Lonchura striata: one gene and its partner. The protein of the gene in region 2 interacts with the protein of the main gene of each other region in a biochemical or structural test. Links are inferred from orthologs where the notes say so. Each region holds a gene or a part of one and is shown on either strand. Other genes may lie near its edges.

Evidence for each region. The genes of interacting proteins can lie anywhere in the genome.
Region 1: the proteins of RAB8A (region 2) and SYTL4 form a complex in vitro, tested with the Homo sapiens proteins (2 studies listed by BioGRID). The link is inferred for Lonchura striata from reciprocal best matches to the Homo sapiens genes RAB8A and SYTL4.

The regions. Positions count from the first base shown.
Region 1 is NC_134616.1:897,517-904,856, reverse strand, and holds the start of SYTL4 (synaptotagmin-like protein 4), read right to left. Parts: upstream 3,038-7,340; 5' UTR 2,999-3,037; intron 2,241-2,998; 5' UTR 2,203-2,240; coding exon 2,093-2,202; intron 1,954-2,092; coding exon 1,738-1,953; intron 1,233-1,737; coding exon 1,123-1,232; intron 965-1,122; coding exon 850-964; intron 690-849; coding exon 582-689; intron 331-581; coding exon 216-330; intron 110-215; coding exon 19-109; intron 1-18. UniProt on the Homo sapiens protein: Modulates exocytosis of dense-core granules and secretion of hormones in the pancreas and the pituitary. Interacts with vesicles containing negatively charged phospholipids in a Ca(2+)-independent manner.
Region 2 is NC_134630.1:4,669,312-4,676,936, forward strand, and holds the start of RAB8A (ras-related protein Rab-8A), read right to left. Parts: upstream 3,032-7,625; 5' UTR 3,003-3,031; coding exon 2,879-3,002; intron 2,567-2,878; coding exon 2,506-2,566; intron 2,300-2,505; coding exon 2,239-2,299; intron 1,495-2,238; coding exon 1,417-1,494; intron 1,003-1,416; coding exon 913-1,002; intron 294-912; coding exon 228-293; intron 1-227. Other genes in the region: TPM4 (tropomyosin alpha-4 chain), read right to left, coding at 3,506-3,588, 5,171-5,240, 5,326-5,388, 5,668-5,743, 5,964-6,034, 6,457-6,574, 6,796-6,929. UniProt on the Homo sapiens protein: The small GTPases Rab are key regulators of intracellular membrane trafficking, from the formation of transport vesicles to their fusion with membranes.

The DNA.
Region 1 (7,340 bases), on a different chromosome or scaffold from region 2:
CGTGTCAGCATCTCTCACCCGCAGGCCGCACCACCCGCCGGGGGTTCTTCTGGAATATCATTTCATGTTCATCCACCAAGGTGCTGCTGCGGGTCCCCACGGTGGCATCCTGGGAAGGAAGAGTCCCCTGAGAGCAGGGCAGGGCTAGGAGCCCTGTGGGGTGCCAGCCCCACGCCCCAGGACAGGGCTGAGCCTGTCGGAGCAGCGTCACGCACCCGCCCGTCAGAGAACGCGTTCTTGGAGCGGAGAGGGAGGGTCAGGCTGGAGGAAGCAGGTCCTGCTGGCCCAACAACCTGTTTTCCAGGGATGGCTCTCTCCAGGGAGTTCCTCCTGTGGCAAACACAGAAAGGTCTGTCCCAGACCACAAGCACAGCTGGCAGAGCAAGTGCTGGCCAGGAAGCGCCACTTGAGCTGCCCGTAGCAGCCTGGGAGCAGAGGATCTTCCTGCCCAGGGACAGGCTTCAGCCCAGCCAGAGGAGCCAGCTTCCCCCTACTAGACTGAGAAAAACACACTTCAGATGAAGGTCCCATCCTCTGCCAGCCAGTCTTGCCAAAGACAAGCCCCCCTGGGATCCTCTCACCTGCCGCCCACATCAGCAGGACTAGGTTTGTAGCTGTCCAGGCTCATGTTTTCCATGGACTCTGTGTCGCTTTTGCCATCCCTAGGGTCTGAGGCATCTGGAAACAAACTGCAGACAAGCAAAACCACAGGTATGTCCTGTTTGGTGAGGAGGTCGGTCTGAGAGAGCTCCTGCACCACCGATGATCCGCACAGGGCAGAGCTTCCTCTCAAACCTGCAGCAGATGAGAGCTGCTGCCTGGAGCACGGGGGACAGCAGGGATTCCTACCTGGACCCCTCCCGGGGTGCAGGGGGGCTCGGCTGCCGGACTGCAGAGGAGCTTTTAGGCTCACTGAGCTGGGCTTTCTGGAGGAGAGTATATCCCACAGTCTCTCTTTTGTTGGCTGCAAGAGAGGCATCATGAGGAGCACTGCTCCAAGCTCACTGCTTGGAGCAGGAGCTGCTCCCATCCAGCTCCACACTGGGCAGAGATGCACTGGGGAAAGCTGGAGCATCCCACGTGGCTGGGCTGTGGGAGAAGGCCTTGCTGTGGCACCCCTACCTGCCGGCCTGTGCCGCAGGGACAGCCGCACCATGTCGCTGCCCAGGTGGTTGGCAAAGCGGTTCACCCTCTGGTCATAGAACCAGTCACCCGTTGCCTTCTTCAGCTCACTGCAGGGCAGGGGTGGTGGGGGCAGTCAGGGGCAGTAGGGACTGTCAGCTGTGCCCCAACCCACCCTCGGTGCTGCCACAACCCGAGAACACAGGCACAGTGGGCAAAATCAGCAGGTGACTGGGCAGGGACCATTCACCGGGCAGTTGACAGGCTCAGCTACATCCTCAGCAAACACGGCAGCAAGGCAAGTTTTGTAGGACAGAGGAAGCCAAAAGGGAGGAAGCCTGGGGTGCTTGGAACACAGCTGTGCAAGGGCACAGGGGGATGCTGCAGTTAGTTCAGGTGAAGGAGCAGGACATGAAGGAGACACAAGAGAGGGGTATGACCCATTTTTCCATCACCCAAACACAGGAGTGACAGCAGAGCAAGCTGCCCTGCACTGGGGAGGACCAGCCAGGCTAGGAAAGGCTGGCTATGGGGCAACAAGTTGAGGCAACTGAGAGGAGGAAGGGGAAAGGAGGCATGTGCACAATGTGCCTGCCACTGGTCCTGGCTACTCACGCCTCCTTGGTGCAGACTTTGCAGCGCCAGGAGCCGCCGGGGCTGTAGGAACGGCAGTCCCGACACACCAAGTGGTTGCAGCCCCGGCAGGTGTTGGCCTTGGGGCTGACGCGGCCCAGGCTCTGCTGGCAGCGGGCGCAGGTCCGCTCGCTGTAGCGCTGGCTGCCCCGCTTGGCTCCCTTGCGCCGGATCTCCAGCAGCTCGTTCTTCAGGCGCCTGCCCAGAGCCGACACCGGGAGCTGTCAGAGGCGCCCCGGGACCCCGGCGACACCCGTCACCCACGCTCTCGCTCATCCACCCGCCTCCAGAGCATAGCGGGGAGGCAGCTCCTGCCCAGCTCCAGCCGCGTTCGCACCTGATCCTCCTCTCCTCTGCCTTGCGGAGCTCCTCGTCGCGCTGCAGGACCTGCAGGATCAGATCTCTCTCCACGTCCGACAGGAAGGACAGGTCCACAGCCTCCGACATCGCTGCGCCCGCGATGGCTGGCCCTCAGCGCACGCCAGCTAGGGACATGCCAGCTGCTGAGCGCGGGTCGCGCCCCGCGAGGTGCCCCGTGCCCGCTGCCGGGGCTGGACCCGGCGCTGGCGGCACCCAGGACACCGGCCCGCCCGCCGCCTCCGCCGCCCTGCCCCGGGCTGGGCTCGGGCCGCCTGCCAGCCCCGCCGCCCCGCTGACCTCAGCCGGCTCCGTGGGACCGGGCTGACGCGCAGCACCCGCGGGCAGCCCCGGCAGGAAGGAGCCGCCCCGGGCCGCCCCTCCCACGAACGCCGCGGGGCTCGGAGCTGCCCGAGCCCGAGGAGCCGCCGGGAGCGGACACGCACCAGGGCGGCACGGCCGGATCCGGCTCGCAGGCGGCGGCACCAGGAGCCGGGCGGCCGCGGCCGCTCCAGCCGGGACGGAGCCGCGGCGCTGGCTCGGGGGCTGCACCGCTCCCCGCTCCCGCCCGGCCCGGCGGAACCGGCAGGGACCTTCCTGTGCCCGCAGCCGCGCTCCGGCGGCCCTCGGGGAGGAGGGGGCGGCGGGGCGGACCCCAGGCTCCTCTCTGTCGGGAAAAGTGGGATCCGGGGCCGGGAGCGCCGCGTTCGCAGCGCGGCCACCGGGGCTGGGAACTGCCCCCGCCCGGGACACCGCGGCTGGACCGCCGGACCACAGAGGGACCCCTGGCTACCCCCGACTCCCCTGCAGCCGAGGGACCCCCGTCCTGCCCCGTCCGCGGAGGAACCCTCGGTACCCCCGCCCGATCCCACGACCGTCCCGGTACCTGCAGCGGCTCCGGCCGGCGCCTCCCGGCAGCGGGAGGGGACAGCGGCAGCGGAGGGCGGCGCCGGTGCCTTAAAGGAGCCGCGGCGGCCGCACCTGCGGCACGGACGGGGCGGCCCGTGCGGGAGGCGGTGCCCGCTCCCTCCAGCCCTTCCCCGCCCGAGCAGCCCCGGAACAGCTGCGGCTCCAGCCCCGCGGGCCGGTGTCCCCGGTGCCCCATGGCCCTGACTGGGTGGGTGGCTTCTCCCGACGAGCAGAGAGCGCACCGACACCCGAACTGCGGGGGACTCCCCGGCGTGCCCGCGGAGCAGCCCAGGGCCGCGGCCGTGGCGTCCTCCCGCCGCAAGGCTCCGGCCCTGCCCTTGTCCTTCGTGGCAGAGATACCGTCCCCGCAGGGCGCCTCGTCCCTGCCCCCCGCAGCACAGCACCGGGGAGCCCGAGCACTCGCGGCTGGCCGAGGCGTGGGGCTCCACCCGCGGGGAGGCGGCTGCTCGCCACGCAGGACAGCGCGGAGCCACCTGCGTGCAGCCCCAAGGCAAACGAGAGGACGCGGCTCTGCCCTCGCTTTCGGCCGCGCCCCAGGGATGGGAGAGCCGGAGGCTTCCAGCCCTGTGGGAAGTGATGGGACACTGATAGTGGAAAAAACCACGGAGACATCAAAGGGCCAGCGGGAACTTCCTTGTGCGGCAGGGGTTCGCTCCATCGGGAGTACACAATAAATATGCAGAGGGCTTTGGGCTTGCAGGAAGACAATGCCACAGAGGCTTTGCTCCCTGAGCCCCTCCGCACACCACCCTGGGACCCAAAGTCCCCAGGCCAGACCCCCATGCTTGCTCCAAAGTTCACGTTTTGACTGGACACCAAGAGGTGGTGAGAAACATCTTTATTTCTGAAAAAAAGATAGGAAGGAAACAGGATGAACAGACTTGCTTCAAGTACATTAAAAAAGCATGCTGCTAAATACAAGCACCAAGCTTGTCCCTGACTTGCCGAAATGAACCCAGCAGGAACCCAAGGTTTCTCAGCACTGTGGCTCTCTCCTGTGTGAAAATGGGGCTCAAGGTGCTACCACGTGTCCAAGACCTGGGCAGCAGCTGGCAGAGCCAGGACAGAACACTGGCAGTCTGCACTCCAGCTTGCTCCATCTTTGTCTGGATCATGAAGGGATCTGCCGTGTGGAGCACAACCCTGGGTGCCCTGGCACAGGGAGGCACTGCTGGGCAGTGCTGCCACCTGGGAACTAGGGAACATAAGGCACATCCAGGCTGGCAGCAGGACACACTGGCAGCATGTCTCTGCCCCTCGTGCTTTGACACCAGCCTTCCAAGGGATCTGGAGCCCCAGCGGTGCCCATGTCCCGCTAAACGGGCAGCACAGGCCGGCACTCGAGGTCCAGCACGAGGTGATGCACGTGTGGTGCGTAGGACTTCACTGCCTCGATGTGCAGGATGCTGCAGCACCACGGCCGCCCGTGCAGCTCTGCCAGCAGCCCCTGGATCCGTGCGGCCGTGGCTGCAGCCCACCGCTGCCACTCGGGTCTGAGCCTGGCCCCCAGTGCCTCCTGCTCACTGTGCTCCACCGGGTGCCACGCCTCTCCCGCGGAGCTGGCTGCCTCTGCGGAGCCCCGCTCAGCCAGCAGCACCGCGGCGTGCGCCGGGCGAGCCTCCACGTTCTGGTGGATGTGCAGAACCCCGCCCGTGTCCTTCTTCAGGACGCGGCAGGCCACCGGCCAGCCTTCCTCCGAGCTGGGAAGCAGCCCCAGGTTCACCCTGTCCGCCACATCGCGCAGCTGCAGCTGGGAGGAGAGCGGAGGTGAGGGGATGCCCGCGGGAAGGGCTCCCGCGGCCGGCGGCAGCGCTCACCTGCCGGCTGTCCCCGCCGTGGATGCGGCAGCGGTCCCGCACCCCGTTCAGCACCAGGCTCCTGTGCAGGGCCTCCACGGCGTGGCTGTTCCACTCACAGGCATGGACAAAGGCGGCTCCCGCGTGCACCAGGAACGGCAGCGTGAAATAGCCGATGCCTGCAGGCAGGAGGTGGCACTGACTGGGGACAGGGACCTCCAGAGAGCCACACTCCTCCCCGAGGGCAGGGCAGGATGCACACTGACACCCTGCCTCTCCAACTCGGCTTTGCTCTGGGTTGGAAAAAGCCCAAACACTGGAAAAATGGGAATTTATCCCTCCCTCTTGTGCAAAAGCAAATTTTGCCTTGAAAAATGTTTAGAGGAGATTATTTAACCTTCAGTCTTTGGCCACCAGGCTGAGATCTGTCTGGCTCTGCAGAAGTGTCCAGATTACCATTTCTTTTGATTAATCCACAGGAGTTTTGTGGGTGGCATTGTCCTTTCAGTGTGGCACAAATTGGAAGCACTAACTTCCTTAAGCACAAACAGTGGCAAATCTTTACCCTGGATCAAAGTGATTCCCCAAACCAGCACAAGGCACAGAGCCTGAGAACAGGACATCTTAAGTGTCCAGAGGCTGCAGGGACACAGGCAGGACAGCAGTGCCAGTGTAGCTGAAGGCCTCACAGACAAGATAGGAGCTCTAAGCCTGAGTATTTTTCATTCCAAGCTGGAAATGACATTTCCTGTCTACCTGGATGCCATCAGCACCTGTCCTGCTCCTCCTCCGTCCCCATTACCTGCATAGAGATCCACTACGACCTCCCCGGAGCAGGGCAGTGAGGCCACACGCAGCTTCTCCGTGATGTTGCCCGGGGAGAACATGCACTTGGTCACATCGAAGGTGTACCTGGAAGACCCGGCCCAGATGGTGAGGGCAGCCCCTTCCCCAGAAGCCGCATCCTGCATCTCCTGCCCACCTGATGCCGTTGTCCACGCGCTCCACCCAGCCGTGCTGGCCCAGCAGCAGGGTGACGCTGGGGGTCCGCATCCCGTCCGGCATCACCCGTCCTCGCCTGGCCACCCGCCGGGCCCCCAGAGCCGAGGCCACCGTCTCCCAGAGCTCCGGGCCTGCAACACAGCACCCCGGGAGGCGCGGGCAGTGAGACACAGTAAAAATTTAACAGAGCAGAAATTCGTTTAGATTTAAGTAAAATGCACTCCTTTGAGCTTACTAACTTAAGTGAAATATGTTATTTAGTCTAGTAACTACAGCACTAGCAAAGTTGTCTTAACTAAAGAAGAGATAAGAAAAACTCCTCAGATTTAAAAAGCAGAGTAACCCAAAAGTTTTCTATACCTTCTAACAAAAACTAAGTAGAAGTGTAACTAACTGTAAATATAACACAAAATCAGCAGAATGAATATGCATGAACCTATTGTAAAATTCTATGCATGCAGGAAATTACCTCGACTAGAATTTTCATAATAATTTTTATTACCCTGACTAGAAATTAGTCATGATAATAGAAAAAGATAAGAGTTTTCAGAAGTGTGCATGTCCATTAAAGGGCATCCACAACACTGTGAATAAACACACCGTTGCCTACGAATCTTTGTTAGCATTGTAGGGTTGGATTTTTCACCCGTGTCCCAGCGCTTACCCAGGCGCTCCCAGGCCGGGTGGCTGAAGCTGTCCTCGCTGAGCAGCACCAGGTCGCCGTGGCGCTGCCAGGCGTGCGGCAGGTCCCGCTCCAGCTCGGCGGGCCAGCCGGCGGGCAGCAGCCGCCGCAGCTCCTGGAGCAGCCTGCGGGCCGGCGGGCGGCGGCGGGCGGCCCTGGAGGGGACAGCATCCTGCGGCAGGGCCGTGCCGCGGGGGCCCGGGGCTCAGACAGCGCCCGGGGCTCGCAGCCGGCCGGCTGTGCCAACCTGGATCCGGAGCAGCTCACAGGGCATCTCCGCGGGCAGGCAGAGCTGCGACAGCTTCTCCTCCAGCACGGGCACGGCCACGCGGCCGCCCGGCAGCCGCTGCAGCCGGTAGCGCCCGTCCAGGAGCCGCTCCTCTTCCAGGCATTCCCTGCGGGGAGAGGCCCTTCAGAGCCCGCGGCTGGCCCCGGACAGCACGGGGACCGCTGCCCCCATCGTGCCGGAGCACAGGCCCCGCTGCCCTCGCTGCCCCGGGCCTCACCTGAGGCGCTGGGCGAACCTGCGCTCCGTGGCCAGCGCGGGCACCTCCGCGGCTGCCATCCTGCCGAGCCCCGAGCGGGGTCAGGCCCGGCGGGGGCTGTGCCCGAGCGGCATCCCTGAGGCCGAGGGAATCCCCGAGGCCGCTCCCGGTGCCGGCGATCCCCGAGGCCGCGGCAGCCCGTTCGCGTCCCGGGCAGTCCGTTCGCAGTCCCGGGCAGTCCCGTTCGCGTCCCGGGCAGTCCGTTCGCGGTCCCGGGCAGTCCCGTTCCCGGTGCCGGGCAGTCCCGTTCCCGGTCCCGGGCAATCCCGTTCG
Region 2 (7,625 bases):
ATACAAGAAACGTTAAGCTCTCAGTATTTTCCTCTCTGCTCCAGGTTTCAATGCTCCTTCTCTAGCTCCACAACCTTCTTTCTGAGCCCCAAAGCCACACTGCCACCCCCAGCCAGGGTCTCTGCTGCAGGAAAGTGCTCAACAACCCAACCATGGAGTTCTGCATCCCACACTGCTGGTTTGCACAAAGAGGACAAGAAATACAAGAGAAAGGCAGCAGTACTTACATTCTCTATGTTTATATTTGCTTTTGCACTGGTCTCCATGAATTTAATCCCGAAACTTGCAGCAAGCTGAACAAAAGCATATTGCACATTATTGAACAATTGCAGGAACAGCTCCAAACACAGTCCTGGGCACAGCATCTGTCCCTGCTGCCACCAGCAGTGGAGTTGGGGATTTACTCATGCAGAACAAAAATTAGGAACTAAATCCCACTGCAGTTGGCATCTGTTCTCACTGTCTTTGCTCTGCTCTTTTACACTCTGCACACTTTTTAGGTTGCTCTTTTTCGTTTCTTGCATAGATACCTTGTCAGTCTTGTAACAACCACAGTGCAGAAAAAATCTCTGCCTCGCCTAAGTAACATCTGACATCAGAAAAGACAATCCCATCTACCTTGTCTCAGTGGCTTTCAGCCAAAACAGACATTTATCCATGTCCAACTCTAGCATCCTTTTAGAGAAGTCCTGCTGGTTGCCTTGCATCTGTTAGATAATTGATAAGAATACTTAACACAGGTTCTGCTGTTGATGCCAGTGGGGGAAAGCATTGCCATGGCAGCTTGGGGAATGCTCAGGCACTGCACTCAGGAACACCACAGGGGTACCATGGCACGTGCAGACAGTCAGCAGGCCAGGTTTTGGACTCTGAAAAGCCTAAGTCAAAATACATCAAAGCCACGGCACTTACCTTCTCCCCTTGCTCTCTAGAGACTTGTCTTTTGTCATTTGCATCACATTTGTTCCCCAGGATCATTTTTTCAACGTCTGGAGAAGCGTGCTGAGACAAACACAGACCAGAAACTCAGGCTTGGCTTTTGTAGACAAACATTGTCAGACAGGTGAGGCACCCACTGAGTACCCAACACAGAGATGCCAGTCCTGAGAATCTTCCCCAGATTTCCAGGCTCCCCCAACCCTTCTTCCCAGGATGTAACCTGCACCATGGCAATTCTTGGATCAATTGTTGTGGTAGGAAATTGTCACATTAGGTGCCCTCAGAAGTACAGGGGCTACAGCCCTCACAACAAAGCACTGTCAGCCAAGGCATTCCAAAAGCTTTTACTGATTTCCATCCCACTTATCTTCCAAGTTCCCTGCAGCACATGAGAAAATGTAATGCTTCTGAAGCAATTATTTTCATGGGAAGAAATGACACCTTTAACAGTCAGTAATAAGTAAAGAGAGAAATTACCTCTTCAATATTCCTCACCCAGTTCCGAATATTTTCAAAAGACTTTTCATTGGTGATGTCGTACACTAGCATAATGCCCTAAAGGTAAAGAAAGACTGTTTCAGCAGGAGTTAAAGGTTTATCCACAGCAGAGAGGAGCAACTCAACAGTGGCTATTTTTAATAACTGGTTCCCAGCTAATGGCAGTGAGATAAGGTGTGCAGGACATGTATTTATAGAGTGAAACATGGAGGAAGCTGCCTTTCCAAAGTCCCAGATCATCCCAGTGTGGGAAATGGATTCGTAGAGAGTTCTCAGGGCCTGACAGAAAGCTCACACATAATGCAAACTTTGAGATAAGAAATGCTGACTTAGAAATACTATAGAATAGAATATTGTTGAGAGAGAAATTGAGCTAGAAAAAAGTTTCAAAATATGGTTTTGTAAATAAGACTAGATACTTTGGAGAAATAGAATTAAAGAAAATATATTGTAGTGGGACCTGTGAGAGGTAGTTTTAGATGATTGGTTTTAATGTATCTACAACACGGTGTGGTAAAAAGTTGGGAAGCCAAGAAACACTTATAGTGCATTGTAATGAGGAAATAGTTGGCTTCTGATTGTGATGGTGTGAATTATAACATCTGTATTGTCTCACCCTTCTCATGAGACTGAAATGAAATGAAAGTTTTTGAAACACCGCTCAGTTACCCCATCTCTAAGTCAAGAAAATGGTATTATCCAACATCCCAGCACAGCTCCAGCAGCACTTGGAGCAGAGCTGTGAGTGTTCTGTGTCAGAGCCAGCTGGGTTTGTCCCCCCTGTCCCCGAGCTGCCCCTACCATGGCTCCCCTGTAGTAGGCGGTGGTGATGGTCCGGAACCGCTCCTGCCCAGCTGTGTCCCTGCAACAGACACAACACGGGGCTCAGTTCCAGTTAACACCACAAAAGCCTTCAGTTAATTTGAAGCACTCTTCAGAGCTGCCTTTTGGCTTCTAAAACACCATAAACCACAGAGCAGCACAACCGCATAGGAACCGAACCGAACCTCCCCACGCACAGCACACAGCCCCAGCGATCAGACGCTGACTGCAGCACAGGAGCCTTACCAGATCTGCAGCTTGATTCTCTTGCCATCGAGCTCTATCGTTCTAATTTTAAAGTCGATTCCTGAAAGGAAAACCAATTTCTTTACTCCCAGCTCCCGCCCAACGGCCAAATCCAAGGCTTTGCCCTCAATCCCGCTGCTCGGTGTGGCGTCCCTCAGTGCTCCCTCCCGGCACCGGCCGCTCCGGGGAGGTCTGGCGCCGGCCCGGTCTGGAGTGTCCCGCCACGGCTGCGAGCCCGGCGGAGAGCCCCGAGCCCGGCGGAGAGCCCCGAGCCCGGCGGAGAGCCCCGAGCCCCGGGCCCGCCCGCGGCTCCCGCGGCCCGAGCCCCGAGCGGGACGCGGCCCGGCGGGGATGGCGGCCGGGCGGCGCTCACCGATGGTGGAGATGAAGGTGGCGTTGAAGGCGTCCTCGGAGAAGCGGAAGAGCGCGCAGGTCTTGCCCACGCCCGAGTCGCCGATCAGCAGCAGCTTGAACAGGTAATCGTAGGTCTTCGCCATGTTGGTGGGCCCCGCCCGCCACGCGCTCATTGGCCCAGCCCGGCGGAGAGCGCACGGAGCCGGCCCGCCATTGGCTGGCGGACCTGAGACGGATGTAAGCGGCGCTGCGATTGGCTATCGGCCCCCCCCTCCGGTGTCCCGTCATTTCCCGGCGGTAACACAATGACGTCATCCCGTACCTGCCCGCACCGTGACGTCACACCCCCAGCGGTACAAGAATCCTCAAGAAGCCGCGGTACTGTGAGAAATTGTTTAATAAGAAACGGCAGCGGGGGCGGCGCCGCTCGGGTGCAGCTCCCACCGGGGCTTACACCAAAGGACAGAGGAACCGTGAGAGCAGCCACGGCCCCGGCACGGCCGCGCGGCTCCCCGGCCCCCAGGGATGCCCGGGGCCCGCGGTGCGGCTGTGCCGGGCATAACTTAAGTGGCTTGTCCGGGATACAGAGAGAGAGGGGAAGGAGCGAGGCAGGGGCAGGTGGCGCCTGCTGGCAGCGCTGAGCCACTCATATACAGTTCAGTTCGTTTAGTGTCTGGTCCAGTGTCTGGTGCAAGCCCAGGTTCTCCTCTTTGGCTTGAGCAAGTTTTTCTGGTGAGAAAGGAGAAAAGCACAAGATTTAAATAATGTTATTTTCTAGCCTTTTTGCTTTAAATAAAACCTGGGGTAACTTACCTTCATATTTAAGACACTTTTATATCATCAAAACAGGGCCATTTTTTTTGTAATTGCTATCCCTAAGGGAGTTTTTTGGACACATCTCATGGAACATGTCAGACCTGTGTTTTAATGTGTCACTGTGTCATTTATAGGCCACATCCTGCTGGCTTTTCCTTGGAGTGAGAGGTTTTTAACCAGGCTGGTGGAGTACGAGCAGACACTGAGTGCACTCAAAGCTTTTCACTGACTAAAGGGAACACCAAAATTCAAGTGTTTGCCCCATCCTGACCATGTCTTGCCCAACCCCACACGAGCAGCTGTGTGGCGAGCACATTTCTCTCCCTCTCAGGATTTTTCATAGAGGTGCACAGAGAGAAATGAAAGAGAAAACAATTTCTATTTCTGCTCCTTGTTTTTCCTATTTGGAACGTGTTTGGAGAATTGTTTACCTGGGGTGAGATCTTGGTTGGATTCTGTGAGGATTGTTTGAGCCTGGTGGCCAATCCAACCCACCTGGGGCTGCACTCTCAGAGAGGGTCACGAGTTGTGAGAGAGTTAGAGTCAGAGAAAGTAGTATGGAGTTTTAGTATCCTGCTTTTATATAGCATATTAATGTATTTTAACATAGTTATAATAAAGAAATCATTCAGCCTTCTAAATTGAGTCAGACATTGTAATTTCTTCCCATTGGGTTCGCCTACATTAACAATACAGCTGAATGTGTTTTTGGTGTTGCCACCACTGTATTTGAGGTGATCTACACAGAAGTAAACCCTGCAAGATGAAAAGTAGAGGTATCATGTTTTATTGAGCTCAGTTCCCAGAGGTGGAAGTGGCACAGGAGTGACAGGGATTACAGGCAAGAAAAGCTTGAGAAAACACAGTGAGCGGAAGGCCGTGTCCCCACGCAGGGGCGGGTCACAAAGAGGTCATGTCGTTGAGGGCATGGTCCAGCTCCTCACTGATGGCTTTGTACTTCAGCTTCTGAGCATAGAGCTCGTCTGTCAGCACCAGGGCAGCAGGAACAGGCAGCAAGAAATGCAGGCAAGAGAAGAGGCCACAGGAGGAGAACGGAGACAGGCAAAAGCAACAGCAGCCAAAGCAGTTGGGGAGGAAAACAAAAGAAGAAAACAGAAGCGTAGTTGAGTATCAGAAGGAAAGCAAAACACCCGCCAAGCTGCCTGGTCAGAAGTTTCACCTATGTGAACTTTTTGTCTTTTTGTAATCTCATTATTGTTTTCAGATTAAGTAGGGTGGGGATCGTGAGCCCTTGAGTCCCTCCATCTGTTAGTTGGCCAAAATCAGGTCATTGTTACCAACTTTATGGAAGAAAACCTTTTTCAGGAGAACTTCCACCACACAGGGCAGGTGCCCAGTGGACACATCACACCCATCCACCAATATGCCTGACCAATGCTGCTGTTCTTTCCCGTTACATCCACCACCCAACTCCTAGAATTTGTTTTCTGATTTTAAACTGACCACCTTTAAAGAAACTTGACTCATTCCATACCTTCCAGGTCATCAATAGACTTTTCCAGTTTGGCAACAGTTCTCTCTGCAAATTCTGCACGAGTTTCAGCCTAAAAAAGTTGAAACAGCATCACTGGATGCTCCTAGAAAGATTATGCCCTAAGATGCATCCAGCATGGGGGTGGCCAAACTTACTTCTTTCAGCTTGTCAGAGAGAATCTTGATTTCTTCTTCATATTTATCTTCTTTTTCCGAGTACTGTGAAAACAATAAACACTCTTTAAGGGAAATTGTAGCAACAATAATAAATGTTTATGAAACTGTGACCTATTTATAAGCACTCTTCCTTTTACAACAGCTGCAAACACCATTTCCGTGCTTTTCTGCTCTCCTGCAGACCTTCAGGATTGTTTGGAGTGGTATCCACAGGCAGGCAGGTAAACCTCTCATCTGCTTTTTATTTCTGGTTTATTTCTGTGAATTCTATTTACAAGTTTAGGCTTTGCCCATATCCTTTAGTTTACTGAAAGAACCAACCTTTTCAGATTGAGCTTCCAAAGATTTCAGGTTGTTTGTGACGTTCTTTAACTCCTCTTCGAGGTCACTGCATTTACTAGAAGGAGAAAATAGAAGTATGAATTACTGGTGTTCCTGTTATGATTTGGAGGAGTCTAAGAAATACAAGGGAGGAAGTAATTAAGTGTGAAAGAAGAAAACCAGGTATGCAGTGTGCAAACAGACTTTTCTGCAAGTACTAACTACATGCCTGCCTACCAGATTATTTTTATTGAAATGTAGTGTTGGTATTTCCTATATTCTAGAAAGTTACTCACACTTCAGACACCTCTGCACGCTCCTCAGCTCTTTCCAGTTCACCCTCCAAAATAACCAGTTTACGGGCAACCTGTAAAAAGACAACAGCCAGTTGTCAGGCCAGTGTGCAATTTGCAAAATCACAGCACGGCCTGGGTTGGGAGGGACCTCAAAAATCATCTAGTTCCACCCCCTGCCACAGCCTGGGACAACTTCCTTGCAGATTTCAGAAAGCACTCAGAAGTACTCTGTTCCTGCTTCCTCTGGAGTAAGGAAATTAGGTTAAAGCATGCACCCACAGAGGTAACAGCCCTCCCCAATTAGTTAGATTTTGCAGTATTTTTTGCATTAGGTACCTAAGGAGTGCAAATCACTATTAAAATTCCTCCTTGCTGGCAATGTTGCAAGGTTGAAGCATCGCCCAGTGCCAACTGAACAGAGGGACTAGACTGAAGAGCAGTGTTACTGTTCATGGCTCTCCCACAGCTTTCACCATTTCCTTCTCCCTTTTACCTCCTCATACTTGCGGTCGGCTTCTTCAGCAATGTGCTTGGCCTCCTTCAACTGCATTTCCTGAATTTCCATTTTCTCTTCATCTTTCATTGCTCTGTTCTCAATAACCTTCATTCCTCTGCAGAAATCAAAGCATGTTTAACTGAGAAGTATTTTGGCACTTGTATCTCAACTTCACAAAGTGGAATTTGAGATTTGTAGCCTAAAAGTGACCCATCGTGTTCATCAAGGCTAACAGAATTACCCAATCAAGCTTGTAAAAAAGTTTCAAGTCTCTGCCCTGCAGTAGCACATGCAGATACTTAATGACACACAACAGAAAATAAAAAAGGAGCGTACCTCTCGCTCTCATCTGCTGCTTTCTCAGCCTCCTCCAGTTTCTGCAGGGCTGTGGCCAGTCGTTCCTGGGCACGATCCAACTCCTCTTCCACGAGCTGGATGCGTCTGTTCAGAGCTGCCACCTCCCCTTCAGCCTGCGTGGAACCAGAGCAGGGTCACACAGGGCACTTGCTGCTGGCACATGCCCCCAGTGAATCAGTTTCCCTACAACTTCAGCAGCATCTCCCTGGGACATGCAGGGCAGCTCAGGGGCCCTTCTGCCTCTGCTTTTTTGTTTGCTTAAACTCTGGCATTTCAGGAATGTCAAGGTATGGAGTGTGTGCTTGTCCTTTCTTTTTTTAATGGCACTTATCATTCCTGCCACACAAAAAGGAAATCTACATGATTGCAAAAGGATCGGGGTATTTTTGGAGCACTTCACAGGGCTGCATCTATTCAAATTCAAAAAATGAACTGTTTCCACGATGGCTTAGTTCCAAAACCTTCACCGTTGGTTTCTCTGCCCTTGGTTTCAGTGGCGCCCTGTCACAGCTCGCTGTGAAGCTGGAGCCAGCTCCTGATCCATCCTGGCTGCCGGAGAATCTACGTGGTCAGCTGGGCACAGACACTGACCTCAGGCTTTTTTGGGACAAAATCAGATATATTCTTAAAATATATCTGATTTTTGCTGATATAACTTTGCTTCCTGTGGTACATAAGGGATTAGGCAGGGCGCATTTCTCAGTAATAAGATCTGTTTGTGTATTGCTGAATAAACTGCACAGTAATTGGAACACCACTAATGTGTATAAGAAATAGACTAGTTAATAAAAGGAAGATACTGCTGGGAG